Notamacropus eugenii: one gene and its partners. The protein of the gene in region 1 purifies or fractionates together with the protein of each later gene. This does not show direct contact. Links are inferred from orthologs where the notes say so. Each region holds a gene or a part of one and is shown in the gene's direction. Other genes may lie near its edges.

Region 1 (7,941 bases):
TGCGTTTGGACTGGACGCCTTCATGGCGGTTTGGGTGTGTGTGTGTGTGTGTGTGTGTGTGTGTGTGTGTGTGTGTGTGTGTGTGTGTGTGTGTACACGCTCGCGTGTGTGCACTCAAGCAAGTGTGTGTTTTCTGTGACAGTGGTCCCTAGTGTTACCAGGGAGACTGAAGAGATAGAAGGTGGATTGGCACAGTGGGGTGGGGAAGGGCTTGCATTATTTAATGAAAATGGCTCTGGGAAGTTTACCTTTCTTCCCCCCCCCCACCACACACACCACACACACATACACATACTCTTCTCCTCCCCTCTTGGATCAGCCCTGAGTCACCAGCCACTAGCCAGGGAACTTCATTGCTGGCTGGAGATGGGGAGATGGGGGAGGGGGAACTGGGCACCTAACTCTTCCACCAAGTCCCATCTCTGCCAATGCTATGCCGGGCAATTCCATTCCACCCGAGTCATCTGCATTGAGGATCTGGCCGTAGCCTCAGAGGCAGTGTAAAAAGAAGTCTTCAGAATGTACCCAGTTTGGCCAGAGAGACAAGGTTCAAAAAAACCCCAGAACACAACCAGTTTTAAAAGAGTTAGTGCTGGGCAGAATGTACTATGGGTGCAGACAGTGAGGCCTGAACTGGGAGAGAGAGGGGACAGTGACCTTGGCACTGGGACAAGCAGGGGACACTCAGAGAGGAGGTGGGCTCAGAAGCATAAGAAGGCTTAGAAGGAACAGGCAAGAGAGAGCACAGAATTACCAAAGGGATGAACAACGTCCAGAACTGGGGGGGGGGGGGGGGGGGGGGGCGCGGGTGGCCGCACGTTCTGAGCAGACCCCAGAAAGGGTAGACAAGCTGTCAGTGTTTTCTGGGTTCAAATAACATATAAACCCATTTTATAGATGGAGAAACTGAGTCTCCGACTTCCTTATCAAAAGCCACACATTGAATTAACAGCAGTTCCAGACTAGAAACAGTTTTCCTAACTCTCAATCTGGTATATTGTCCAACACGTTGATGACAGGCAGGGTTCTCCTCCCCCTCCCCCCTCCCCCTCTAAATCCTAGTGTGGAGGGGGCTCCGTGTATATGAAAGCCCAGCCCTAGTAGCAAATGACAGAGGAGGCCCTTGGGACCTGGGACAGTAGCTGGGAAATTGCTTCTCCGCACTTGTGCATGTCTGAGCGCTGATGACTCAGGGGGATTAGTCACAGAAAAAAGCCTGCTGCTGGTCACCTTCTCCCCTTCCCTCACTCATCCTGTCCTAGCAACAGCGAGGCCCCAGATCTGGGGTCAGCTTTGATGCTGAACTGCGAAAGCATCTTCTCATCTAGGCAGTCTGCTGGAACAGAAAACATGCCGGGCTGGGAGGGAGGGGACCCAGGTCCCAATGCTGGCTCAGCCCACTGCTAGCTGTGGCAATCTTGGACACATCACTTAATGGGGGACACTCCGGGTTCCTCACCGGTTACGGGAGGGAGCTGGATTACTAGACTAACCTTGCAGCTCTTTTCCAGCTGTAGATCAATGGGTCCGTGGGGCTTCCCCAAGCTCGAGGTCTCCCTTCTCCGTCTGGCCTCTAAAGACCGGGCCCAGGTTAGCCTCGGGATGAGGCTCGTGCTGCCTCCTCTGCCTCCTGAAGCCCAGGCTAGGAGCTCCCCGAGGCAGGGTGCAGGGGTCAAGGACTGACAGGGCATTAGTTGTGTATTATCTCGGCTGCCTGGACGCCCTGCTCTGGGTTCCCAGTCTAGCCCTGAGTGGGCTGTACACATGGAAGGCATTAGGATGAGGGGCCGTGACTACATGGCTTCCTTGTAAGGAATGAGACCAAGGTCACTTCTGAGCCCTGTGGGGGCCAGTCTGTTTACTGGTCCCAGAGCGAGGCCGAATACAGCCTCGGACAAAACCCGAACCCTGGCCTCAGACTGAGCCCTAAAGTCAAGCAAGTCTCCCGGCTTCATATCCCCTCCATCCCTAGGAAGGGAGGGAGGAGGAGATGGGGATGGCGCATTCTCAACATTCAGGGATCACCATTCAGTGATCACACGGGGGGACTCGAAAGCAGCGTGTGCCTGTCCCCCCACCCCACACGCTCACACCCTTTAGCCCTGGGGTCACTGGGGTATGGGACCAAGCTGCCCCTCAGCCGGGCCCAGAGGCTCAGAAGGTCTCTGAGGCATGGCTCGGGTGCTGGATGGAGTGCCCACGTGGAGCTAAAAGCCTCCACAGGATTCAAACTGTTCGCTCAGGTCCCCCCCACCCCACCCTCCTCTAGAGAGGGGGCGGTGGCAGTGGCAAGTGGCGGGAGGGGGGGGATAGAGAGGAGCTTTGAGAGAGAGAGGAGGGAGAGAGGGGAGAGGGAGGGAGAGAGAGAGAGCGGAGAGAGAGAGCGAAACGGGGAGAGAGGGAGAGAGCAAAGAGAGAGAGGGGACACAGAGACAGAGGGGAGAGGGAGAGATAGGGAGAAGGGCACACCGGCAGAGAGAGGAAGTCAGAGATGGAAGAGAGAGACAAAACAGAAAGAAAGAGAAAGAGAGAGTGAGAAAGGAGATAGAGACTGGGGAAGACGCAAAGGGAGACAGAGGGGGAGACGGGAGGGGGGGGGGGGAGAGAGACGAAGGGGAAAGAGAGGGACAGAACAGAGCTAGACAGCGAGAGGAACGCGAGACGGTTCGGGTGAGCGCCAGAGCCGAGAGCCGGGAGGAGCGCGAGAGCCGGAGCGGAGGCTCGCCGCCCGTGTGCCCGTGTGCCGTGTGCCGTGTGCCCGTGTGCCCGTGGCGGCGGTGCGGGTCGCTGCTCCCAGAGGTACGGAGGAGGAGCCCGAGCCGGAGCCGGAGCCGGAGCCCGAGCCCGAGCCCGAGCCCGAGCCCGAGCCCGAGCCCGAGCCCGAGCCGGAGCCGGAGCCGGGGGAGGCGGCGGCGGCGGAGGCAGCGGGCTACTCGCCCACTTGCCCCCTCCTGCTCCCTCTCGACTGTGCGCGAGGCCGTTCGCTGCCCCGAGCTCCGGAGCCCCGCTCCTGCCCGCAGTGGTGGCCCCGGTGCTAGCGGCGACGGAGCGCGGCACCACCGCGCCGCCCCCACCCCCACCCCCCGGCTTCGGAAACTTCCCCCCGGCTGCGGCGGAGCGCGGCTCTGCACTAATACACTAAGGTGAGCGCGCGCCGGTCCGGCCCCTCCCTCCCCCTCCCCCTCCCCTGGTGCCTCTCCGCAGAGGCGCCCAGGACCCGGGCCGTGGGACTGGGGGCACTGCTGGCCAGCCGGACGTCCCTCCCACCCCACCCCCGCACACCCCAGGGCTGGGGGCGCAGGGAGCCCAGAGGAGAGCGGGCGGGGCTGGAAGGCGGCGGCGGCGGGGCTGCGGGAGGCATGGGGAGCTGCTTGCATAACCGCCACTCGCGGGAGCCTCATCCCCAACACCCACACCCCGACATATCCCAACACCCCCCCAACGTACACACTCTGCACACCCCGACATCACACACATGCATGCACCACATACACACACACACCAACGCACACCTTCAGCACACACCCCTAAACACACCCCCCGGCCCAACTGTCACACTCAGACACAAACCCAACACCCCCTGAATCTTCCAGCACATCCCACCCCAACATCCACACCGCCAACAAACGTACACATACACACACTCGTACCCAGGTACCCGACGCTCAAACCCACATACACGCCACTCTGTAGCCCTCTGCTCATACCCACAATCCTTCTAATGCAGAACACCACCAGAACACAGCCTTCTACCCCCCCTCTCCCCCACAATACACACATTCACCCTCACAATCTTCCCAATAGCCTTTCAGCACTTACACCCCGACACACTCCCCTCCAATATTAACACATCTGTATTCTCCCCAGCGCGACCCCCCCAACACCCATAAGGTACCCTCCTCAGACACATCCATTGTTAGGGGTTAGAGAAGCAGCGGGCCTTTCCCATCTCTGGACATCTGCTTTCCTCCTCTGAAAAAAACGAGGAGAGTGGATTGAGTGGTCTCTAAGGCCCCTTCTAGGTCTTGCAGTCTCTGTTCTGGTGCCATATCTCCACAAACTTGCTGAAGGCCCTTGTGTAAGTCCCTTCCCCTCTCTGGGTCTCAGTTTCCCCATCTATAAAATGGGGGGGGGGTTCTCCCACGTTCAACATTCTGTATCTGTATCTGTAAGGTAGGGAGTGAGGTGCACGCAGGCAAGAAAGGCCCTTGGGCTCCCCATACCCAGTTGGTCCAATGCACCAGACTCCAAAGCACCTTGGCATTCGATTGCTTCCATAGTCATGGCTTAGGAGAGGGAAGCCAGACTGGGGAACAAGGCATGAGGGGTGTCTGGGGAAGTGCCTAAGGGGAGAATAGCATCGAGGGAAGAGGGTTAAACATGCCTCAGGGCTTCTCTCTGTCTCTTGGTCTCTGTCTCTCTGTCTCTTAGTCTCTGTCTCTCTCCTTTCTGACTCTGTGTATGTATGTCTGTCTCACACATATACACAGGACAAACCAGTCATCCATTATCAGGTGAATGAGATGAGGGGACTTTCATGCTGCGGGGTGAGGGGGTGCCAGTGTGCCCAGCCCAGTCTTCCCAGCCCCTGCCTTCATGGAAACCTCAGCCTTTGGCTGTTCAGCTCTTCCTTCCTCACCCTCCAGTTCAACACCCCTTTCTACAGGTTGACTCCCTTCCTCTGTCCTTACCCATCCCCCCACCCACCCCCTGAAAATTACCCCAGTGTCCAAAGGAAATAGTTTCCAGGATGGAAGTTGGATGGCAGGGTGCCAGGAAACGGAGGCCCATACACACACACATTCATACACACACACACACACACACACACATTCATACACACACTCCTACACACACTTACATACACACACACACACACACACATATACATAAAGACACAGAAGTAGGTATCCCAAGACAAATACACACTAATGCACACACCAACATATACATGCCCACACTCCGAGGTACATACAGACATGCATCTGCCCGTGTACATATGTGTACATACACCTATATCCCCGCATTCAGAGACACATGCAAATACATACCAACTTACACATGCATAAATACATAGGCCAATGCTCCTTCCTCTTTTCATCCTCCCCATCCCCCTTTCCCAGCCAACTGGGAAATTCCGGAGACTCAGGCTCTGCCCCCAGGCTCACCTACTGCTTTTCTCATTGGGGAGCTGACCTCAGCTCCTGACTTCTTTTCTCCAACTCTACAGGTCTCAGCACCAGGTCGTGTCAGGACCACTGCCCTCCACCTTCCACCCCAGTCGCTGCGTTTGGGGCGACTAACAGATCTTCATCGGGTGGTCTCTCCGAGAGGAACCATGCAGCCCACCGAAGGCCTAGCTGAGTTCTGAGAGCCCAGCCACTGGCCGCCTCTTCTTTCAGATTCTGCCCTTGATTTGCCAGCGGTTTTGGATACCCAGGCAGCCGTCTGGGCCCCCTGGCTTCCCCAATCACCTCGAAAACAATACCCCAGCACATAGGCTAGGGGGAAGAAGGAAATCCTGCCCCTTCACCACCTCACATCCTCCTTCCTCTGCGTGTTTTGTGTCTCTCCCTCCCCTCAATTCCAGCTGTAGCACATCTGGAAGAACAATTCCCCCTCCTCAACTCCCAGAGATCCAGAACAGCCCTTCAGATTCTCAGGACCTCTTCCCCTTGCATAAGGCTCTGATTGGCCTTGGACTCAGTTTCTTCTGAGTTTTACTCTTCTCCTCAGCTCTAGAAGACAACTTGACCAAACATCTGAAGAGACCTCAGCCCCCTGAAAACACTGAATTGTCCAACTGAATTTATTGAAGACCCTGTAGTCAAAGGGTCACAAACCCTCTCCCTAAGAGAAGATGGTCTCCTTCCCTCTTCCCTGATCTGGTGGGATCAGGGGCTGCTGGACCCTCCCTCTTGACCTGGAGAATTAGCCTTCCTCCCTGCCCCCCCCCCCATTGAGTCTTTGCCTTACAGAGAACTTTGAGTCAGGAAAGGGACTGGAAAGAAGGTTCTTGGATAGTACCCTCACCCAGGCCCTCAGGGAAGAGGTCCCAGTAAACTGCCACCAACGTCATAGTACTACAGAATCGAAATAGCGATTCAAGGTGACAACCTTTTCCCCCCAATTGTTGGAGCAGGAAGAACCAGGCTCCTGTGAGTACCTCAAGTGAAGGTGGGAGATTAAAAACCTAGGAGGTGAAGGTTGTGATTGGAGCTTGGAGGGAGTGGTGCTTTTTAAATATTCCTGGGACCTCCAAGTTCATTCCTAAAGCTGCTCAGTGGAGAAGGAAGATACGGACATAGCCAGGTGAGCCAGGAAGGAAATCCCTCACGGCTTCCTGAGAGAGGAGGTTTTCATTTGCCCACGAGATCCATTGGCAGCTGTGTTCTAGACAGTGTGGTTTTCTTCATTTTGGCTTTTTGTCTCTGTCTCTTTTTAAAATAACAAAAAAAGTTGTCTTCAATCCCATCACTATCTCTTTCCACTTCCTCTGCCCCATTCCCATGCACAAACCTACACATACACCTTCAGCCTAGCCTTACTATCTGACTGACTCCTTGGGCTGTTCTGAGAGTGGACTGAGAGAAGTAGAGATGATCCTTAGCCCTCATCCTTCCCATCTCCTCTTCCTTGCTTGAGAGACACAGAGACAGAGACAGAGAAACAGAGAGAGGAGAGAGAGACAGAGAGAGAAAGCCTGAGGAGAAAGAGAAAGAACTGGCCCTGGCCCCTGGGTCATGTACATATCCATCCTTGGCCCCTCTGAAAAGATCAGGGGGAGCTCAGTAGTCATCTTTCCTCATGGAGGGCCTTGGAAGATCATCCCTGTGGCTGAGCAGAGAACTAGCTGCCCCCCAGCCTCAGCTGCTCCTTCTGGACTGCCGGAGCAGGGAACTCTATGAGTCAGGCCACGTCCAGGGGGCTCTTAGTGTAGCCCTCCCGGCCCTGCTGCTTCGGAGGCTGAGGAAGGGCAATTTGTCTGTGTGCTCCCTGCTCCCCAGCCCACTGCAGCAGCGGCAGCAGCAGTGGCAGCCACAGCAGCAGCCGCTGCCCCCTCTGCCCATCCTCCTGTATGATGAAGGCCAATGTGTTGAGGAGGAGGAAGCCGAGGCAGCCCAGTCAGTGCTAGCCACCTTGCTCCAGAAGCTGCAAGAGGAAGGCCACCCTGCCTACTACCTACAAGGTAGGTGCCTGGACTGGGGCGAGCAGCTCTTGAGAGACTGAGCAGCCCCTGGAGGTGGGAGTAGGGACAGTGAGGCCTTGAGGAGCAGGAGGTTTTGGTGGAAGGAGCACTGGCCTGTGAGGGAGTGTCGAGGTAAAGCTTTGACCCCCAGCTACATCCCTCATTGACTGAGTGTAAGCGAGCCTCGGTTTCCTCTCTTGGAAGAAAAGAGAATAGCCCCCCTACCCTGCCTCCCTTACAGGGTCACAGAGCAAACTCACAGGCAAACCTTTCTTGGGCTCCTAGGCCAAGGCTCTTTCTACCCCATCCAGCTTGCCAGATCTTATCTCCCTAATTATGTTTTTTTCAGGGCTTTACCCTGCTTGGGCCTGCTCTGCCCAGACTTGCCCCTCCCAGCTATGGCCTAGGGGGAGGTTTTCCATAAGAAATTGAAATCAGCTGTCCTCCGCTTAAATCAGATTTTTAAAAAATCAAATTATAGTTTAAATGCAAGGGGGTAGCTGGCAACTCAAAGGAATCCTGTATAGGCCTTTCTGGAAAGTAAAGAATCCTTGTATAAATCGAGTCATCACTCTCTAATTTTTTGATCTGGAGATCTGGATTTTCATGCACTGTGTATTCCTGTCCATCTACGGTGGGGAGGAAGGAGTAAGGTGTTCCCACCGATCAGATATTCTGATTTTCCCCCATATGGTATATCTGGGGGGGGGGGAATATCTGGCCTGCCAATCTGATCATAGAGCTGGAAGAGA
Region 2 (7,969 bases), on another chromosome or scaffold:
TGGTGGAGTAGGGGATCCTGCTGCTAAAACAAGGCTGGAGAATCAGCAGTTTCTAATCTGGGAGGACTGAAGAGGAGCAGCCCCAGGTCCTGCTCTCAAGGAGCTCTCCATGGTAGGGAGTGTGGTCTAGAAATGAGACACTCCCTTGACATAGATAAGAGAGGACACACGGCATATTTTGGGTTCATTTAGGACTTAAAAGTTTGCAGAGAACAATCATCCTCTGTCATCTACAGGAAATTGTCCGGAGGTAGGTACAACAAATGTACTTGCCCCCATTTTTCAAATGAGAAAACTGAGGCAAATCGAGGTGGAGAGACTTGTCTTCATAGCTACTAAGAGGCAGAATTTTAATATCAGTCTCTCTTTAGCTCTCTAGGAGACTGGGGGGTAATTATAAGAAGGCAGATTTCACCTTATACTGGAAGACTGCCTGAGCTTTTAGAAGTGTCCAACAGTGAGACAACCAGCCATATCAGGTAGTGAGCTCCCTGTCCTCAAAAGTTTTCAGTGAGGTCAGAGGAGTCCCAGTCTGAAAGGCTTCAGGGGAGATTCCTAGAGTGAGTGGGGGTGGGGTGGAGAGGTTGAACTGGCTACTTTCCGAGATCACTTTTTAAAAAATATTTGGCTAAATCCATCAGCCCATGGTTTGGCGATTCCATCCATCTAGGCCCATGTAACTTCTTCTCATCCCATGGGTCTACCCATCAGTGCTCCCACTGAACCCCACCCCCAACCTGCTAGGGCTTTCTTCCCCTTTCTCTGAATTCGAAGTGGCTGGGAGAAGTTCTAGAAGCTGGGGGAGGGTTGTACACTGGAAGGGGCTGCCCACATCCCAGTTCCATGGACCCACACAAAGGTCCAAGATGAGTGGAGTGGGGGTAGGCGGTGAGGGGAAAGTAGATTTCTACATGTGCTCTGGGATACAGAAAGGAAGGTGGGGGAGGGAGAGGGAAAGCTTCTTTGTCTCCAGGAAAAAAAGGACCCCAGAAGGCTCTGACCTCACCTTTGAGATTCAAATGTGGTCAAGTGAAAAGGCTGGAGGAGGGAACTAATGAAGGAGAGAGAAGGGGCACCCAGGATGGAGGAGGCCTGCCAGCTCAAGCCTCCTCCCCCTCTTCCTCAGGCAAAAACAGGGCTGATGGGCAGTGGGGTGGGCCTCAGCCTTAGTCCCCCAGTCCCTCCACGGCTTCTAGAATATTCAAGTCCTGTATACAAACATACACACACACACACAGACACACACAGACACACACAGACACACACACACACACAGACACACACACACACACACACAGACACACACACACACACACACACACACACACACACACACACACACACACACACACACACACACACACACACACACACACCCCTATCCAGAGTCTGCCTAATACTGGTTTAAAGACTCATGGGCCATCAAAGATGGAAGGAACAGGAGAGGTTATTTAGATCATTGCTCCATTTTACACCAGGTAAACTAAGGCTAGAGGGGGGAAGAGACTTAAACCTAAAACTTTGGCTTCCACTGGACAGCTAACCTGCCCTTCCTCCTCAATTCCAATAAGTCCCCTCTCCTTGGGCCTTTTATTATGGGCCTCTCTCAATGTACTTCTCATTTAATTGTAGTACCTGGCTTGAGGCAATTCCCAGAAAGGAAACTCTCAAGGTTCAAAGGGACTACCTTTGGGTATGCATTCCTTTTTTAAAATTAAAGTTGTTTTTTTAACTAACAAAAATTATTTTTATTTCTTCCCCCTTTCATTGAAAAAGAAAAGAAAAACAAAACCCTCCTAACAAGTATGCATAGTTAAGCAAAACAAATTCCCAAACTGACCAGGTCCCCTAAAATCCCAATCTGCACCCTAAATCCACTGGCTCAGGGACTTTCCGAAATCATGCTTCATCATTATCCTTTTTTTTTTTTTTTTGGCAATTGGGGTTAAGTGACTTGCCCAGAGTCATATAGCTAGTAAGTGTCTGAGGTTAGATTTGAACTCAGGTCCTCCTGACTTTGGGGCCCTTGACCTATTAACTGTGCCAGCCAAACTGACCCAAGTCATTGTTTTAATCAGAGTTGTTACTGAGTTGTTATAGCATAGATCGTTCTCCTGGTCCTGCTCACTTCAATCTGCACCAGTTCATATAAGTCTTCCCAGGTTTCTCTGAATCCATCTTGATCGTTTCTTATGGCACAAAAGTATTCTATTACACTTACATGTTTTAATTTGCTTAGCATTTCCCAATTAATGAACATATCCCCTTTGTTTCTGGTTTCAAAAAAGAGCTGCTATAAATATTTTTGTACAAATGTTCTTTTCCTGGGTACCCATATAATGTGCTTTCCATTAACAGTCAGCCAGTAGGTACAACTGATTCTTTTTTTTTCCCTTTAATATGGCTTTTTTTTTTATTTTTATTTTTTAATGTTTAACAATCACTGCCATACAATTGCGATTTTATGCCCCCCCACATACCCCCCACTACCCCCCTCCCTCCCCACGACTGCATACAATTCTGTATAGATTCTACATATACTTTCCTATTGAGAATATTTTCACCATAGTCATGCTATGTAGTCAGACTAAGATAAATGAAAGAAATCGTATAACAAATCAGAACATGATACACAAACACATATACATACACAAACATGATCTGCTACATTATGTGAGTGACTTCCATATTTCTCTCTCTGAGTGTGGAAGGCATTTTGCCTTGAGATCCACCATTGGGATTTTTTTTTTTTTGTAAGAGGTTCTTGTGTTATTACACAAATCTAAGTCTACCAGAAAAAATTCTCACACACTGTGGTTGTTGCTGTGCATAAAGTTCTCCTGGTTCTGCTCCTTTCACTCAGCATCAGGTCATATAAGTCCTTCCAGGCCTCTCTGAAGTCTTCTTGTTCATCATTTCTTATGGCACAATAGTACTCCATTACATTCATATACCATAATTTATTCAGCCATTCCCCAATTGATGGACATCCCCTTGACTTCCAGTTTTTGGCAACTACATAGAGTGCTGCTATAAATATTTTTGTACATGTGGGACCCTTTCCCATTTTTATGATCTCTTGGGGATATAGTCCTAGTAGCGATATTGCTGGGTCAAAGGGTATGCACATTTTTGTAGCCCTTTGGGCATAGTTCCAAATTGCTCTCCAGAATGGTTGGATGCGCTCGCAGCTCCACCAACAATGAATTAGTGTTCCAACTCTCCCACATCCTCTCCAGCATTTATCATTTTCTTGTTCTGTCATGTTTGCCAATCTTATAGGTGTGATGTGGGTACAACTGATTCTTAGCAAAGGTATTTACTAAGATGGCATAGTAAGGAGAGTCAGGTTGTAGACAGGCATTTATTCAGTGCCTACTATGTGCCAGGATTAATAGCTACCAAACATTCCCCAAGATAAACTTAAAATGTCCTCTCCCACAAACGAGCAGGCATAAAATTAGGGCACAACAGTAGCTGGGCACACACATATAAGATGCGTATAAAAGCCAAGGTTTCTTATAACTCCTGGTAATGTGGGGCTTGGAAGTCTTTTCTCTCTTCCTGGGAATCTCACACAGCTTCCCCTTGACTGGAGCATCTCTGTTGGGTGGCTTGCTCCCCTGGGTCCTGAGGTTCTGTTCCTCTCCACGTTGCTCTCAATTGACAGTGATGATTCTCTCTTCATTCCATAGCTGCCACTCTTCTTTGTGGCCGAGTCCCTTCCTCAAGTTTGTTTCCCTCTTCAAGTGATTTCAGTGACTCTACTCCCACAACTGTGTCTCAGACTGATGAATTCTCATATTGTTAAAAGGGGTATTTCTGTCTAGATAACTCAGAGGTAGGAGAGTGGTTCAGTAAAGAGAGCAGTGGGCCAAGAGTCAGGAAGACCTGAATTCAAATCCTGCCTCAGATATTTACTTAATACTTAATAAATGTTTATTGGATGAATGAATGACTAAGTGCACACAGAACCAAAGGTTTAGAGCTGGAAGGCACCTTCATGGTCCAAGGATCCAAACTCCCCATTTTACAGAGTAGGAAACTGAGTCTCAAGAAGACATGGAGACTTACTCAAGGTCTCACAGATTATTCAGTGGTGGACCCCAGATTTAAAACCAGGCATTCTGACTCACAGTCCAGTACTCTCCTCTATACCAGTCCTTAAAACTCAATTTAAGCATTTACTAAGCTCCTTTTAATGTAATCCTAACCCTAAATGCACTTGGATGTTGTTTTTGCATTAGAATTCTAAGTGCTTGGGGCAAGAATTGTTTGCCCCTTTCTTCGTGTGCCTGGCACATAGTGGGCATTTAATAAAGGTTTGTACAGTTGATTTGCAGGCCCCGGTGCCAGGCCCTGGGAATGTGGCTCTGCCCTCAAGGAACCTCGATCCAACCAGGGCTGAGATGTAACCAGCGAAGTGTGACCCCGAGGGTGAACCAAGGCCACCCAACGGGTGCTGGATAGAGCCGGGAAGAAAGGAAGGGTCCCGAGAGCAGAAGGAAGGACATCCAAAGCTCCAGGCTCGGGAGAGCAAGAGATGGAATCGCGCAGGCTCCGGGATGCGCCAAGTGGCCCAGTTCGGCTAGAACCACACGTCAGGCTGAGACATTTGGAGTTTGTTCCTCATGCACAAGGGAGCCACGGGAGGTTCCTGAGCGACTTGGGAGGGACGCAACTTCATGGCTGGGTGGAGACAGCCCGGGAATCGGCTCAGGGGCGCGTGGCCAGGGTGCAGGAGAAAGGGGATGAGAACTCAGGGTGAAGGATGATGTAGGGTGGCGGCAGCGGGAAGGGAGGGTCCGGGGAAGGGGACTGAGAGGAGGGGGTGGAGGGTTGGGAGGGGCCGGGAGGCGGGGGGAGGGGGAAAGGGGGCTGTGGGCGTGTCCTGGACCTCGGTGGGGCGGGGTCACTTTCTGGGGATTCTCTCAAACGCGGCAGTGGCTCCGCCCCCAGACATTGAGGGCGGGGTCGCGGAGACCGGAGCCCCTTCCCTCTCCCCATGCCCCGCCCCGCCCTGCCCCTGGGACCCCCGGGCAGCTTCTGAGCTCTGCCAGCCGGACCCGCCGGGTGGGCAGAGCCGGGCATCCAGGCTGCTGGAGGGATCGCAGCCCGAGCCGGGGCCGGGGCCGGGGCCAGAGCGGGGCCCGACAGAGGCCAGCTCGGCCCCCCAGGCCCGAGCCATGTCGGCTCCTCGCGGCGGCTTCTACCGACAGGAGCTGAACAAGACCCTGTGGGAGGTCCCCGAGCGCTTCCAGAGCCTGAGCCCAGTGGGCTCGGGGGCCTACGGCTCCGTCTGGTACCGGGCGGGCTGCGGGGGCTGGGGGCTGGAGGGGGAGGGCACGAGGGGAGAGGGGCCCGGGGAGGAGCCGGGGTGGTGGCTGGAGAAACCCCCCCCCCAGCCCCGCCCTGCCCTTCCCGGATTAAATGAATGAATGAACGAACGAAGGAAAAAGGGGATGAATGGAAGTTCCCTTCCCCCGCCCTGCCAGCGCAGTCGGAGAAGCCCCGGATACCCCCGGCCCCCGAACTGGCTGGCAGGAGCGCCCCTGAATTTTGGGCTGGTAGCACCCCCCTTCCCAGCCTACCCCCAGCCCTTTCAGAAGCCAGAGTTGGGGTGGGGAGGGAGGACTGTGGTCCGGGGCCGAGGGCAGTAGCTAATTCAAAAGCCCCTTGTCTTGGGGGTGGGGGGGTGGGAGGAGACTGCTGGGGTACTTACTGTGTGACCATGGGTTCAGGCTCCCCCTGTCAGTCAGCCTGATGTCTGTTTGTCCCAGCTCATACTGACTTCCTGGGGCCTGTGGGGAGCCCTAGATAATGGGGGTGGGGGGTGGATAAAGGCTACATAGGTTTGAACTCTGACCCCTCAGCTCCTGGCTCGTCTCCACCGCTAATCAGCCACACACACTGACTCCAGTTCCCTTGTGACCGTTAGGGATTCTGGGAGTAGCCAATAGGGCTGAGGGGCAAGGCCTTTTGTTGGGGACCCCCGGGTCAGAGGTGGGGGAACCCTGGGCCCTGGGGGCTCCCTCTTCTGAAAGGCAGCCCCTAGAGGAGTTCTGCTTTCCAGGGCAGACACAGCCCTAGAGGCTCCCCCTTCTGGAGACAGATATAGCTCTGTAGAAGTCCCTCTTCTGGAAGACAACCTTCACTCAGAATGGGGACAAGGGATAATCCAGGTTGAGGGCCAAATGAGCCCAGAGCCCTGTTCGGGGAGCAGGGAGTATGAGGCTGGGCATGGCTTGGCCATGGGAGAACTGAGGGCTAGAAGCTGAGGAGGAGGAGCTCCTGGTGATGGGTGGGCAGCTGAGCTCAGGCAGAACCGGGCTGCAGGGGGCCCACAGGGCCCTACCTTGGCTCTGGCCAAGCTCAGGCTTTGCAGACTCACTGTGGTAACAGCTGTAGCCAAGCAGAGTGGAGCAAGAGGAAGGGACTGCTGGGAAGAAAGAGAGGTCTCTGGGCACTCCCACAGCTCCTGAGAGGAGGCAGGCATCCTCTGTCGAGGTCTCTTGCCAAACTTCTATGGAAGATTGCTGAGCACCTACTATGCACAGGCCACTTCTGAGAGAGGCTCTTGCCCTGCCCCCAAGGAGCTTACCTTCCAGCAGGGCAGATGTGGCCTAGCCCAAGGGTCCTCAGAGGTCTAGGCTAAACAGAGAGAAAACTGAAGCTAAGAGTGTGCAAGGGAGATGTCCAAGCTCACACGGGGAGTCAGTGGCAAAGCTAGATCCCTGGCCCCCTGACTTTCCAGCCAGGGATCCAGGCATGCTATACCTGGATGTTTCTGAAGTCAGGGACCCAAAGGACTCCCTGCCCAGGTAGGGAATGGCTGTCCCATAAGAAAGGACAGACTGGTTCTGGGGATGCAGGGTTTGGAGAAGATAGTCTAAGCCTAGGGCAGGAGGATTACCAGAGAAGGGAAGCCTCCATGGGCTTGGAAGTATGGATGTGATACCAGTAGAAAGAGATACAGAGTTTGTGGAGGGGTGTACCGGCAGAAGGTACAGTGTGTGCAAAGGTGTGGAGAAAGAAACTGGGCTGGGTAGTTTGCTTTGAAAGCTAGAACATCTGGAGTCTGAGAGGGGATCGTGAGTTACAAGCTAGAGGCAGAGGTTGGTGCCGTGGAAGGCCTTGAATGTCAGGCTGAAATGTCAGAATTTTTTCTCCATGGCTCCTGTGGAGCTATTAAAGTTTCCAGAGGAGGGAAGTCACATAATTCAAGTGCTGCTGTAGCAGGTGAACGTGGCAGCCATTGCCAGTTGTAAGGGACATTTCAAAGGCAAGAGATGCTCATTAAGCGTGTTGGGCGAGACAGATCTCATTTCTGGCCCTGCCTGGCCTGTTGGACTCCACAGATCAGGGCAATGGCCTAGAAAGTGGATTCCTGTATTTCAGCACAGGACTTGCCAGGTTCTCCCAGGATCTCAGTGGAGGAATTCAGGCCCAGAGATCCCAAATCCCCAAGGACAGTAATTAATGATGACCCAAGGAGGTGTTTAGCAGAGTACCCCAAGGCTCTGCCTACGGCCCAGCCTTCAGAATATTCAATAGTCCTTTGCTGTTGGACATTTTCACTAATGATTTGGTGAAGACCTAAAAGATATACTTATCCAGGCAGTGAGCTGAGGCTCACAGTACAGCCGCTACGAGAATCTAAAATGATGGTGACAGGCTAGTGCTGGACTGAAACTAACAAGAGGGAACTGAATGGGAAAAATGTAAAGTCTTGTGCTGTGATCCAAAAGATCACTATGTACTAGATGGTAATTTCTGTTTAAAAAAAAAAAAAGATATGAAGAGGATATCATACCAGGAATGGACCTTCTAGTAACCATCTATTCCAGTCCCCTCCTTTTACAGATGAAGGAACTGAGGCTCCAAGAGGACAAATGACTTGCTTGAGGTTAGACATGTAAGCAGTAGCAGAGCTGGAATTCAAACTCAGGTCCCTGATAAGATTCACTTC
Region 3 (7,027 bases), on another chromosome or scaffold:
ACAAGTTTACAAAAAGCTTGGTGAGAGACCTAATTACCCAATCATATTGATGGGGTGATGGGACCTGGGTCCCTAAAAGGAAAAGATCATGCCTTTGAAACCCAGTCCCTGAATTTTCCCATACATTTCAGCAGCCTAGATCACTAGTGCCTCCACCCAAGCCACCCACCTAGATGACCTAATTAGCTTACTTGACATTCCTTTCACTGTTTCACCAGGCCTACCCCAGACTATGTAGCACTCCTTAATCCCATTCAGATCCTTTTTGTATATAAGCATGTCTCACCCTCTTCAATTTGAAGATTCCCTAAGAATCTCTCCTCATTTGTCTGGAAGAAGGCTTGAGTGCTTGAATTCATTCCAGACACTGTCCTGTACCCTGATATTTCAGGGTTTCCAGCAACCCAAACCACATCAATATCCTCTCATGAACATTTACAGATGAAATGTAAATGTAAAATGAAAGAAGAGATTTGCCAAGACTTTTACAAAAAATTGCTTTTTCCTTTGATGACTGGGAGTCACCACTATTGTTTGTTAACTACAAAGAAAAAAAAACTCAACATTTGATTTGGTAGAGCAAGATGCTACCTCAAAGCCTGTCTTCCAACAAGGTGCCTCCCCTGCATATGTTAACTCATACATTCCTTGAACGGTACAATTGAGATAGCTAGGTCTACCCTCTTGTTATTAAAGTGAGACCTAAAACAGAACTAGGCTTTTTAAAAAGTGCTTGCCACTATCATGGAGATCTCTAGTACAGAGTCTAAATGAAAGAGGGATCAATCTCCTGTAGATGGTGAAGTCATCCAAATACCCTTATTTACAGATGACAGGGTGAAAATTCTAAAATGAGATCCATAATCACTTAAAAGACTTTAACCTAATTATCCATATGGAAAAATAAAGTATGTAAAGATGCTTACTGTCCAGACTATGATACAATAAGCTATTAGAGTAAAGAGCCCATAGTGTAGGTCCATCAGGGCATACATATTGGCTCTAACATACACTGCAAATGGACAATGAAATAAAAGAATTAAATAGGAAGGTTAAGAGAGTTTGAGGCAAGGAGATGAATAGTCAGACAAAGGATAGTGGTAAGTATAAAAAATAAAATGGATATTTTTAATTAGGTGAACTTTGCACAAACAAAATTAATGCCATTAAGAAAAGAGAAGTTGTCAACCAAAGAGAAAATCTTTATATCAAACATTTCTGATAATGGTCTAACATCCAAAATATATAGTCAGCCAAGAAAAATATACAAGAACAAAAGTAATTTTCTAATAGATAAGTGGTCAAAAGATAATAAGTAATTCTCAAAAGAATTGCAAACTAGTAAAAACCATATAAAGTGATACCATTAACTAAAAATAAGAGAACAGCAAATCAAAAGAACTCGTTTCACTTTATAACCAGCAAATTGGCAAAGGTACAAAAGATGGGAATAGTCAATGTCAAACGGATTGTGGAAAGAAAGACAGGCACACTAATGCATTGTTGGTAGAGCTGTAACTTGGTCTCACTATTTTATGGAAAGCAATTTGGAATTATTTGTGGAATGTGACTAAACTCCTATATCCTTTGTTCTAGTGTGATTCCACTAGTAGGCATTTTAACCTCAAGTTGGTCAATGACAAAAAAGAAAGACTTCACACATACCAAAATATTTGCTACAGAACTTTGTGATAGCAAAGAACTGGAAACAGTATATACCCAGTAACCAGAGAGTGACTAAACAAACTGTGGTATATTATGGTGCATAATGAAATGCCACTCTCCCTCATCATCTCCTACTGGCTTTCCTGGTTTCCTTCAAATCTCTACTGAAGTTTCATCTTTTCCCACACTTTCTCAAACCTATATCATTGCTAGTGCCTTCCCTATATGGGTCGTATTTATCCCATATATATGTTGTTTCTATTTGTTTGCTTTTTGTCTCCCTCATTAGATTGTAAACTCTGTGAGGGCAGGGACCGTTTTTACCTCTTTTCATAACCCCAATACTTAGCACAGTACCTGGCACATAGCAGGAGCTTAATAAATGTTTACTGACTGATAAGAAACAATATAATGACTAGAGAGAATTACATAAAAATACATAATTGATGCAAAGTAAAGTAAATAGAAGCAGGAAAACAATGTACAAAACAGTTTAATGAAAAAAACCAATTAAAACTGAATGCTGAGAAAGTATAATAACTAATCCAAGTCACCAAAAAGATATATTAAAATGGAGAGGTGAGGACCATGGGTGGGCAACACTACAGATAATGTGAAACTCTCTGGATGTGCTGTTTAGTTCTGCTGAATTTTTTTCCCTTTTTTTTTAAAAGTGTGGCCATACTGGGAAAAGTAAGTGATGCAAAAACTAAAAAGTTTGAAAAAAATTAAAGAGGTCCAATTGGAAGAGGAGGTAGGTAGGTTACATAAAGACAATGAAAGATAATAATGGATGACCCAAGTGTTCCACTGGTACCCATATACCATCAAGAGATATAGAGGAAGGAGCCCAAAATGTTTGGTGGATCCTGTGCAGAGGAATAATTACCATTCAAATGTTGGAAGTAATACCTACACAGAAGAAATCTCAAGTATGGTCAAATTTTGAAGCTTTGAAAGGTCTTCACTATTAGAGTTCTAGACTAGTAATTCTGATGGTGCTTCAAATCAGGTGAAAATATTTTATGATGGGAAACAGGATTTTTTGCAATCTTTTTTTCTTTCCAATCGCTAGTGTTTTGTTTTTTTCAAGACGTTCCCAGAGTACTGAACCACCATGGCTACCCATCTCCCACATTCAAAATCCAACTGAAATGCCACCTCCTCCAGAAAGCCCTCCCTGACCACCCCCAGGCCTGAAAGACCCTCGTGGTACCTGACAGGGCTATTCTTGGAGCTCTTTCCCTCGACTTCAGTACTTTCTCCAAGGATGAAGATGGCAATCCATCCATGCTTTCTCTCTATGGGTCCTTCCTGTCCACTTCTTTACATAAATTTCTCTAGAGGTTCTTTCCTCTTTATCACGTATAACTTTGCATTAAAGGTATTTCTATTTATTCATGTCAGCCAACCCACATAGGCTGTCAGCTTCCAGAAGGCTTGGGAGGATCCTAAGTATCATTTTAGACGTACGAGCACAGCACTTCACGCGTTAACTCATTAATTCCATCAGGTTGAAAGAGCCTCGAGGGCAACATCTGTCTTTTGCCTTTTTGTAGCCCGAGCGATGGGCACGGCGCCTGGCACATGGTGGGCACTCTCATTTAAGACGTTTATTGAATTGACTTTGATCCCTACGTCAGCCCCGTGAGTAGGCGCTCTCGTTATCTCCGTTTTACAGACCAGAAAACTGAGGCTCAGGGGTCAGGAGACGTCTCTGGGCTCACAGTGTCCTGAGGCACAGTCTGTGTCCTGGCATCTCTGCCAGCGCCTCGAGAGATTTAGTACATGACTGTGGCATTGAGGCTGGTGGTGAATCTGCCAAGCGGACACGAGGCTCCCCTCCATCGAGAAGGGTCCAGCTCGGCTGTAAGGCCCTGCAGGGACTGCACGGGCCTCTCCGAGCCGAGGCCAGCGGTTTGCCTGGGCAGAGGCCGGGCCAAGGGGCCGCGCGTTCCTCCCTCTCCGGCCCTACACGGGCAGGCCAGCGGGGTTTGACGCCCATCAATAAATGCGCACCGGCAAGACCCCCGTGTCCCTGTCTCTCCCACGGGACCACCGACAGCTTCCGGTCAGCTCTCATTCCCGCCTGGCCGAGAAACAAATCTCCGACCTGGGGAAGACACGCAGAGGCGTCCGCGAGCTACGTCTCGCGAGAACACGCCTCCTCCTCCGCTCCTCCTCCTCCTCCCCCTCCCCCTCCATAATCCCTTGCCTTCCCCCTGTCCCCCGCGCGAGCAGGTTCCATATTGGGTAAAATCTGGGCTCGCGGAGGACCTCCCCGGACCCACCCCGCGCGAGGCTCTCGCGAGATCTCGTCCAGGAGTTCCCGTCTGCGGGGAGGTGGGGTGGGGGGAGGGGAGGAGCTCGCAGATTCGCAGGCGCCGGAGCCGCAGCTGGCGCGGGAGCTGCCGTCGGAGCCTGAGCTGCACCGCCGCTGCTGCAGCAGCCACCTCCGGGCGGAGAAACCGGCCCTTTCGCTACCCCCGCTTCGGACCCCCTCCCGGCCCAGCCCTCGGGTACCGGGGGGAAGCAGCAGGAAGGCGGGCGCAGTCCCGGGTCCTGAGTGTGGGAAGCCCCCCTTGCCGGTGGCCAGGGTCCCCCGGGGGTGGGCAGAGTCGCCGCGCGCCCCCGGCTGACAGCGGCTTCGGGGGTCGGCGGGGCCGTCGCTGCGGCAGCACCTGCGGAGCGCCGGGGGAGCTGCGGGGGGGGCCCGGCCCCGACGGGCGGGCGGGCGGAGGCGCTGGCTGGCTCCCGCTGGGCCACCTCCCCTGCGCTGCAGCCGTCGGTGGAAGATGTCTCAGGAGAGGCCTAAGTTCTACCGGCAGGAGCTGAACAAGACCATCTGGGAGGTGCCCGAGCGCTACCAGAACCTGTCCCCAGTAGGCTCCGGCGCCTACGGGTCGGTGTGGTGAGTATCCCGAGCTGGAGGGTGGGACGGGGCCGGAGTCTCCAGCTTGCTTCCCAGGAGCTCAGGGATGCGCCAAGCGGCAGGAATTCCCCCCCACCTCGGAGAGGGCACTGCTCCCTCCTGCACACCCTCGTGCCCCCTCTTGCACGGCGGAGCCAGCTTATGACAACTCGTTTGCACCTACGTAGAGCCGTTTGCATTAGTCGGATACCGGACGGCCCGGGTTGCCTGCTCAAGGGGACTCTCTTTCTTCAGACCCCCCCGCCCCGCACCCCGTAGGGCTGCAGGGAAGATGGGAATGGGAGGTCAACTTATTGAGGAAGTTCTACCAGCGGAAGGCAAGCTTGGCCCTTTATTGATCTTTGCCAGCTTCGGCGGGCGTTCGCGACGGTTCCCCACCCGCCCCCGCCGTGTGTCAGATCTGGCACGGGCTGCAGACAGGCCAAACATGGGGAAGCAGCCTAAGAATGGGAGAACTAGTAAGACGTCGTTCTTGGGCAGCAAACCCCACTGGGTTTTGTGCCTGATGGGGGGGAAATGTTTTTTCTTACTTTTTTTTTTTTTGCAAACATCTGTTGATTAAATATGAATCCAGTTTTCAGAAACGGGCATATTTGATGAGATTTCATCATTCTCAACCTTTTGAGCTTGAAATTTCTTACATTTCTGCAAGCCTGCCAATTTTTAATGTGCATTGCAACCTCAGCTGGTTGGAAGCTAATTTTTTTTTTTTAAATGAAAAGAAGGCACCTACAAGGCTGTTGTCATTTTAGAGTTCCATGGAATGATTGCAAGCATTAGAGCATTTTTTTATTCAAGTATTGTAAAGTTCTTGACAGAACATTTTCATTTGACTCTGGGAAAATGGGCCTGGTGTGACATCCCTAAGATGAAAAGTGGTTGTTCACAGTGACAGAAATTATATTTTTGCACGATTGGGATAATATTCAATTCACTTTACCAAAAGTATTGTAAAAGTTTCATACCATGGTGCATTTGCTAGTGTACACAAGAACTTTCTACATTTATTGCTGAGAAAACAGGTGTAGAATGTTTGCCTCAGGAAAACAAGAAAATGGAGAACTTGAAAGAGGTCACTGGCTATGATGAATTGTAAATGTGTAGAAAGTATGTTACCATAATAATTCTTTATGTAGCGTAATTAAATTTTTTAAGTTAGATTCTTAGAATTGGAAGGGACTTTTGAAATTGTCTAATGTAGCCTTCCAGCAAAAGCAAAACTTCTGCAGTGTCACTAACAAATGTTCATTCTGTCTCAGTTTGAACAGTTCACTTCATATCTCATCGTTTCACAAGGCAGACCTTTCTCTTCTTCAAATTTATTTTAGTTTAAACACGTATTTAGCCAATGAAAGCCATATGATGAATTGTGTACTTTAGATTTGTCATAAATATTGGCCTGGAAATAAATAGGTGATGGTTACAGGGTTTTTTTTCTTTAGTGTTGTGTGCATATATAATTTGAAAATTGTTTGTAACAATTTCATACTTGCCAAATAATTTCTGTTTTTAGGAAATATTCCTCTTTGGCACACTCCTTCAACATGATTCCTGTGCTCCTTAGAGTCACATCATGAATTTCCTGTTTGGTAGAATTTGCTCTGAAACTGAGATTGTGCAATTGCATCCAGTAACAGATCATATTGCATTTTTAAGCTCACTGTTTAATATGTGTAGCAGATTGTACAGTACTCTGCATCTTTTTTTCCCATTCTTTCCAAATGAAAATTTTCATTATAAAGCAACTCGATTGAAATAATTTCTTTTCTGAAAACTCATCTATATTTGCACATTTTCAGTTTTATGTGTGACTATTTCTTTACCAGATCATTTGGTCCATCTTAAGTAAATCAATCTTAATGAATTCGATTTTTGTTTCCAACTAGAATTATTTATTAGTTGAGTGATTTTATGCTAGATGAACTAGTTGAATTGAACTAAAGAATCTACCCAATGGATTTATTCTTGCGTGTACTGTTTGTTTTCTGAACATTAGCAGTTCTGCATGAAGTAAACTGTCCACTGAGATATCTCTTATGACAGTGTGAGAATAGTAAATCAATGAGTACATTGTTTGGTTTGGTGTTATCTACTACATTTGCTGATTAGCTTAATTTATGAGCTATGCCTTTAAAGTAAAGTGACTAAAACATACATGCAAAGAGTTTGGGAGCAAGCTCTTCAAAACCTTCATAGTTTGTATGCCTAAGACTCTTGCAACATATTTGGAGCTCTTTTGGAATTATCCATCAGAATACATTCTTGTGAATATTTTCAGTCGTAGCATATTTTCTTCCTTTTGAAGCTGCTAGCTACAACCTTTTCCTTTGTAGGTAGGTTTCTGGTGGAGTAATGTAGGTGATGAAACTGGAAGATACTGGTTTTTTGGTCAAAAAGCCATGTACATCTATAAAGCATTGAGACTTTTTT
Region 4 (7,277 bases), on another chromosome or scaffold:
TGAACTTCCTTCACAAACTTCCTAACACTTTTTCTAATCCTTCTCTCCTGATCTCCCGGGAGTAAGTGACCAGCAGCAGTCAGGAGTAATGAGACCTGAGACCAGGTCAGGGGATAATGATTGTCTCACAAAGAAGCAACCAGAAGTCAAAGAGAGAAAACCAGAGCTGAGCTGAGAGTGAAGACCTAGAACTGTGGGCCTAGCATAACTTCTGTGACAGACTAATATACCTCCTGTGATAATGAAGAGACTGAGAGTTAACCAGAAGACTAGTGCTCCTCAGGAGACATATGATCCACGTTACTGTGAAAAGGAGTGGCCATTTGGGGATAAATGCTGAAAGTTTAAAACTTGATTTAATTCTAATATTCTTTCATATTAAATAACTTTGCTTTGAATCTATAGGCATCCCAGTTTAGTTCAGTAAAAGAAACATTGTTAGGGACTCATCAACAGTGAGTTTAAATTGCTAATTAGTCTAACAGTACCAGGAACCTAGAACTAGCTGTAAAAGAAAGGGGTGGGGCTCAGGATGCACTTGATAAACATATTATAAAGAAATTATTACATTCAATTGAGGGGTATAGGGAACACCTCATGAAGGATTTAGATCAACTGGAATTTAAAGGATGGGTAGAATTTCAAAAGACAGAGGTAGCAGGTAGGACTTTCCAAAACTGGGAATTGTATAATCAAAGGCATGGATAAAGGTATGACATGGCTGGTCATGGTGGCACACATCCTTAATTCCTATTACTCAAGTGGCTGATGCTGGTGGATTGACTGAGCTTGGATGTTTTGAATTATATTGCAATAGCTCTAGAGGTGATCAGGTGTCCTCATTGACTTTGGCACTAATATGCAAGAAGGTGTTTCACCACACTGTCTAAGGAGAGGCAAGCTGGCTCAGGCAGAAAATGGAGCAGGTCAAAAGCTGCCATGTCATCAACAGTAGCGTCAGACCTGGGAATGGCCACTTTACTTCTGGATGTGGGTAAGGTGGGGAGATCATTCAAAAAAAGGAAAGTATGAGATGTGTACAGAGGATGGCAAGTAGTCCAATTCAGCTGGAGTACAGAGTACACAGTGGAGAGAATACTCTTATATAAGACCAGAAAGGTGGAAAGACACCAGATTACGGAAGCCCTTGAGTGCCAAATTAAGGAATTTTGACTTATATTTGGCAGGCAAAAGGAACATATGGAAAAATTTGAACAGGAGAGTGACATGATCAGATCTGTATATAATAATTTGGATCCTGTACAGAGGTTTGATGTCTTGGGAGGAGGATAAGATAATCAAAGGAAAGGGCCAAAGATAAGCCTTGGAGAATAATTTTGTTAAAGAGTTGGGAGAAGAAAGACCAACCAGGGAAGGAAATAGAGAAGGAACAGTTAAAAGTAGAACCTAGAGTGCTGTGTCACAGAAGGCAAGGGAATGTCAAGGAAGAGGATTCTCTCTCTGTGTGTAAACAATAAGGCCATTTATTCAGAACATAAATGCATAATAAAGCACATTCCTAGTGAGCGTAGTTTCATTTCCCTTCCCCCCCAGACTAGTTTGAGTTTTGACTGCCATCTGATTGATGATTCTGATGGGGAAAGATTTGTTCCAGGGGGGTTGAGCCTTGCAGGACTCGGGTTTTCAACAGTGTCAAATGCCCCAGAGATCACAGACAAAGAGGAAGAGGCAGAAAGAAGAAAATGGAGTAGTTGTTCCTTTGGCTCTGCACTTGTACAGACTGGAAGGATTCTGTGTATTTCCAGACCTCCTAATCATTTTTACTTTTTAAAATTCTTAGTTTCCTTCAAGGTTCAGGTCTGATGTAGATATTTACAGGACCCTTCCAGATCCAACCCACTTTCCTGAATACTTCCTTGTATTTACATATATTTGTTATATACACCCAGTTAAACCTAAGTTTATTTAGATCAGTAACTGTTCTGTTTTTGTCTTTGCAACCCCAGCACCCAGTACAGTACCTTCATATAGAGTAGATGCTCAATGTTTGTTGAAATTAACTTAATCTCTAAAATTCTTTCCAGCTCCAATTTTATGGCTGATTTAATACGCTGAATCAGTCGCCTCCAACATAGGAGTTAGTTTCAGGAAATATCATTCATAGTCACTAGAAAATGATTTTTACAAACACTGCATGGGGTGAAATAATTGCAGTCTTATATGACAAGCTGTCATAGAACTAACTTCCCTATGTTAGCACTCCACCCATGGCTCACAGCAGATCTCTATCTGGTACTTTATTGAGTCACTGGTCTCTTGTAATTACACGAAGTTAGTTTATAAAAAAAGCCTTATCATATTAGCAAGGGCTAAACCCAGATCCTGCCAGGCCTGTTGCATGTTCCTCGGGGGTTTATTAAATTAGCATATGAGCCACACCACCGTGAATTAGTATATCTGATTCAGAAACAAATTATGAGGGATTCTGGAATCATGAAGCTCCATTTTGCACAGGTCTGCTTTAGCACAAGAGGAAGATTTTGTTCCTGATCTTTCGAGGGGAAAAAAAAATCATACGGAAGCCCTCCAGATATGTTTGTATAACCCTACCCTATTGTACACTGTTGTCTTGTCCTTTCAAGAAATTCAGTGACAGGGAGCAGCAAAGTATAGATAAACCAGAGGAAGACTTCAAGTATATCAAAAAGAGCTTCTAGGAAAGATTAACGGAAAGCTGGGAATAACATCCACATATGCAGAAAAAAAAGATGGGTTGCTTTGTGCACACTCCCCTGGTAATGGAGCTGGGATAATCAGTCATCTCAAGTATCAAAGGAAATCTAAGTGGTAAAGTGGATAAAGCCCTTAGGCCTGGAGTTAGGAAGACGTGAGTTCAATTGCAGCCACAGACACTTGAGCAATAATTAACCCTGTCTGCCTCAGTTTCCTCGTCTGTAAAATGAGCTGGGAAATGGCAAACCACTTCAGCATCTTTGCCAAGACAACTCCAAATGGGGGTCACAAAAAGCCAGACAGGACTGAACAAGACATCAGTGGAAATAATAACTTAATCTGTACTGGGGGAAAGGCAGGCAGGTTGGTGACTAATTTTTTTTTTTGACTAATGAGGTTAACTCATGATTTCTGTCCATTTCCAGGCTGAATAACCATTTAGAACTAGATTTAAAAAAAATTTAGTTTTTGCTGTCCTAAATTATCATCCTCTATGCAGTTTTCTCAGCCCAGTCTGTGCTCAGGGGGTAAATTAAAAGTGATGAAATTTCTAAGAGCATGGAGTCTAACCTTAGACGGGATCACGTCACAGCCCACTCCCCAAAAGCTCCCTGTGGCCTCCAGGGTCAAGCACAAGCCTCCCTGCGTGGAGGTCACCTAGCCCCCTCTGAGCTTTCCAGTGTCCTCACACTTGCCCCCTGCTGTTCTGGGACAAGGTCCTTCCCCTCCAGCTGCAGGCACTTCCTCCGTCTGTCCGTCCCCCCTCTCCCAGCTGGTGCCTTCCCTCCAGAGCGGCATCACTTCCGTGTCCTCGTGGAGCTCCTGGAGGGCAGGCACTGTCCGTTGCCTCTTTATTTCTCCAGCATTTTGCCCGGTGCCTGGCACAGAGTAGGCGCTTACCAGATGTGTACTGACCAATGGCATACCCACTCCTCTTGTATCTATGAAACAAAGCCGTCCTCCCAAGGAGGGGCAGAGGGCCACAGGGTCGGGGTCGGACGCGGGCCTCGGGGCCACGCGGTCTAGGCCGCTGTTTTACAGAAGGGGAACCTGAACCCCAAGCCTGTTGGGGCACCTGCCCAGGCCCTCTGGCCCAGGACGGGAAGCTGACCCCCCTTGGGCTCTTCCCTAACTCTCCAGGTGGAGGCCTAAATGTGGCCGTGGGTGAAGCCCCGGACCTCTGCCCTCTCGGCCCGGCCTTTCCACTCGTGCTCGTGAAGGCGCTTCACCGATGTCCACGCAGTTTTACTGCCCGGAAGGGCCTCGCCGCAAGGCCCTCAACCGGGAAAAGACAACGAAACTGAGGCCCGGAAGACATAGAGCGAGGCAGGCTTGCCCAAGGCCGAGCGGCGAGGGATCGCGCCCCTCCGGCAGGGGGTGGGGTGCCAAGCCCCGGACACTGCTCCCAGGAGGCCCAGGCCTGCGGTGGAGGCCGGGCAGAGGCGTGGAGCCCAGGCCGCGCAGGCGCAAGCGCCGAGCCCGCCAGCCCGAGAGCCAGGAGCTGCGAGCCAGCGGGAGCCGGGGGGCGGGGCCCGGTCGGGGGCGGGGCCTGCGCGGCGGGGTGACGACACGGAGGGCGGGGCCGGCGCGCGCCTAGGCGGGACCCCGGGCGGAGCCGCGGGGAGGGAGGGGAGTGGAGATGGCGGCGGCGGTGGCGGCTGAGGGGGGAGGGGGCGGGGAGCCCCGGGGAGTTGACGGGTCGGGTCCGGGGGTCCCGGGCAAGGTGGAGATGGTGAAGGGCCAGCCGTTTGACGTGGGACCGCGCTACACAGAGTTGCAGTACATCGGGGAGGGGGCGTACGGCATGGTCAGGTACGGGCCGGGGGAGGGGGCTCCGGAGGTGTCCTGAGAGAGGGGAAGGGGCTCCCGGGGTGTTTAAGGAGGGGAGGGGTCTGCGGGGATTTTCTTGGGGAAGGGAGGGGAGCCCAGGGTACGATCTGAGGAAGGGGAGGGGTCTCTGGGGATGTTCTTAGGGAGGGGAGGGGCCTCTGGCGATGTTCTGAAGGAGGGGACGTTCCGAGGTTGAGGAGGGGGCTCCGAGGATGTTCTAAGGGAGGAGGGGGTGTCCAGGGGTGTGAGGAAGGAGGAAAAGGGAAAAGAGGGAGCGATCAGAGGAAGAGAACGGGGCTCCGGAGATGTGCTGAGGGAGGGGGCCCTAGGAAGGGGAGGGGGCCTGGGCAGGTTCCTGGGGGGGAGGGGCATCTGGGTGGGGAGGTGTGAGCTCCCCTCAGACTTGGGGTGTGGGGCTGGGCTGGTGCATGGCTATGCCCCTGTCTCTGCTGCGCCCCTCTAGACATCCCCCTCTGCGGGACAGGCCTCTCCTGGAGACCCAGATCCCCGCTCGTTCCTTATGTATACTTTCTTCAACCACCACCCCTGTGGCCCTTTGGTACCCTCCTTCTGGGCCCCATCTCCTTTCCTCCTAGGATGCCTGGCTTGAGGACTTCCTGACGTATTTTCTCTTTATTTCCTATTTTCTCCTTACCCTCCTCATCCCTCTTTTAGACTTCTGGGTAATAGGAATAGAAAGAGACATACTAGGGGTCCTAACAGCTGGAGTTTAGGTTGAGAGGTGGGGAGGAGGAGGGTCAGTGGTCTCTTCTTCCTGGAGTGAAGTCAGAGCTTGGGTTGGCTGGTCCCCAGCCCACTCCCTGGAGGCTTCAGGCACTAGTGGCAGGAAGGAGCCAGCATTGTTTACTGCCTGGTCAGAGTTCTCCCTTGACCCCCCCCCCCCCCCATCCTCCCTCCACCTCCTCCTCCCCTCCCTCTTCCCATCCCCTACCCCAAGGCCTGGGTGGAGCTCAGTGGCCTAGGCTCTGCAGATGTTCCCTTAATCTCTAGGCTATCCTGCTCCCCCCAAACCAACCCCCCCCCCAATTCTGTCTGCATTTTTTCTCCTTCCCCCTGGGCACAGCTCTCCTCCAGCTGTGATCCAGGATAGATCCTTTGCCCTCTGCCCCAACAGCTCTGCCTTTGACCATGTGCGGAAGGCCCGGGTAGCCATCAAAAAGATCAGCCCGTTTGAGCACCAGACATATTGCCAGCGCACCCTACGAGAGATTCAGATCCTGCTTCGTTGCCATCATGAAAATGTCATTGGCATCCGTGACATCCTTCGAGCACCCACACTGGAGGCCATGAGGGATGTGTATCCTTAACCCCTTTATTCAACTCTGACCCCAGATCAGGCTCTGTAGGGGCTTTTTTTTTCCTTCTCTGTCTTGTGTTCCTTTCTCGACTCCATGCCCCAGTAGAAGAGAGAATGTGGTATAGGGAGAAGCGAAGGGGTTTATGAATTAGTTTTGTTCATATGTTTCAGTCATGTCCAAATCTTCATGACCCCTTTTGGGATTTTCTTGGCAGAGATACTGGAGTGGTTTACCATTTCCTTCTCTAGCTCATTTTTCAGATGAGGAACTGAGGCAAACAGAGTCAAGTGACTTGTCCAGGGTCACACAGCTAGTAAATATCGGGGGCCATATTTGAACTCAGGAAGAGGAGTCTTGGGTCTTCAGACCTAGCACTGTATCTACTGTGCCACTTAGCTACCCCTATAAATTAGTAGATCCTGATTTTAATCCCATCTTGTGCTTCACTTTCTTCTTATAAAATGAGATATTGAACTAGATGATCTCTGAAGTTCCTCCCAGCTCTTAATATTTAGAGATTCTGAGACCTTGGCCAGGTCTCTGCCCATAGTCAGGGTTTAATTAAAATTTTGTAGATAGTGAGTCTCTGCAACAGAGCCTGTGAAGCCCCACATAAATCTTCTATATATCGCCTGTTTTCCTGCCAACCCCTCCTTTTTCTCCTGTCAAACAGATGGGGGCTTATAGCCATCTTCTCTTGAACTTTCCCCCTCAAAGCCCCACCCAGGTACCTCCCCAACAGGAAGATCCTTGGACCTTGTCCAGATTTTGGACTGTATTATCATGCCCTTTTTCCTCTCTGCTGTCTTTTTCAGTTTTCCTCCCTTTATTTTCTTCCAAATGCCCTTTCCTCTTCTCAACTTCAAGTGAAACCCTGTCAGTCCCTTTCCTCCCACCATTCCCCATGTGTATGGATTTATACTGTAAAAAGAACTGTTTGATGGGGTCCGGGCCATTCAAAAATAAAATGGCAGAAAAAGACTAGATGAAGGGGCCCTTTGGTTGGCCTGATGGGGTTACTGACAATAGCATCAGTCTGTTATTCTCCTTAACTCTACTTCCTATCGGTTCCCCCACTTCCTGGTTGGAGTGGGGGGGAACTCCTCCATGTCTCCCTCAGCTACATTGTTCAGGACCTGATGGAAACAGACTTGTATAAGCTGCTCAAGAGCCAGCAGCTGAGTAACGACCATGTCTGCTACTTCCTGTACCAAATCCTTCGGGGCCTCAAATATATCCACTCAGCCAATGTGCTCCATCGGGACCTCAAACCCTCCAACCTGCTCATTAACACCACTTGTGACCTCAAGGTGAGAAGGCAGAGATGGCAGACCATCACGTCTCTTCCTTCTCCCACCTCACCCCACTTTGCCCTGTATGTACGTCCAATCTCTGTGTCAAGAAGTACAGCCTCCAAGCTGCTTATCACTGTCT

What was found. Proteins that work in one complex are often made in the same cells at the same time.
Region 2: the proteins of DUSP9 (region 1) and MAPK11 purify together in Homo sapiens (affinity purification with mass spectrometry; 4 studies listed by BioGRID and IntAct, with this or other methods). This does not show direct contact. The link is inferred for Notamacropus eugenii from reciprocal best matches to the Homo sapiens genes DUSP9 and MAPK11.
Region 3: the proteins of DUSP9 (region 1) and MAPK14 purify together in Homo sapiens (affinity purification with mass spectrometry; 8 studies listed by BioGRID and IntAct, counting the BioPlex papers as one, with this or other methods). This does not show direct contact. The link is inferred for Notamacropus eugenii from reciprocal best matches to the Homo sapiens genes DUSP9 and MAPK14.
Region 4: the proteins of DUSP9 (region 1) and MAPK3 purify together in Homo sapiens (affinity purification with mass spectrometry; 4 studies listed by BioGRID and IntAct, with this or other methods). This does not show direct contact. The link is inferred for Notamacropus eugenii from reciprocal best matches to the Homo sapiens genes DUSP9 and MAPK3.

The regions. Positions count from the first base shown.
Region 1 is NC_092879.1:22,351,568-22,359,508, forward strand, and holds the start of DUSP9 (dual specificity protein phosphatase 9), read left to right. Parts: upstream 1-4,923; 5' UTR 4,924-5,230; coding exon of another isoform or gene 5,231-5,303; 5' UTR 5,304-6,807; coding exon 6,808-7,189; intron 7,190-7,941. Other genes in the region: uncharacterized protein, read left to right, coding at 1,522-1,663, 2,101-2,292, 2,609-3,143, 5,231-5,303. UniProt on the Homo sapiens protein: Inactivates MAP kinases. Has a specificity for the ERK family.
Region 2 is NC_092874.1:304,210,835-304,218,803, forward strand, and holds the start of MAPK11 (mitogen-activated protein kinase 11), read left to right. Parts: upstream 1-4,960; 5' UTR 4,961-5,186; coding exon 5,187-5,302; intron 5,303-7,969. UniProt on the Homo sapiens protein: Serine/threonine kinase which acts as an essential component of the MAP kinase signal transduction pathway.
Region 3 is NC_092873.1:93,170,758-93,177,784, forward strand, and holds the start of MAPK14 (mitogen-activated protein kinase 14), read left to right. Parts: upstream 1-4,018; 5' UTR 4,019-4,460; coding exon 4,461-4,576; intron 4,577-7,027. UniProt on the Homo sapiens protein: Serine/threonine kinase which acts as an essential component of the MAP kinase signal transduction pathway.
Region 4 is NC_092872.1:46,779,386-46,786,662, forward strand, and holds the start of MAPK3 (mitogen-activated protein kinase 3), read left to right. Parts: upstream 1-4,268; 5' UTR 4,269-4,333; coding exon 4,334-4,506; intron 4,507-5,659; coding exon 5,660-5,842; intron 5,843-6,963; coding exon 6,964-7,153; intron 7,154-7,277.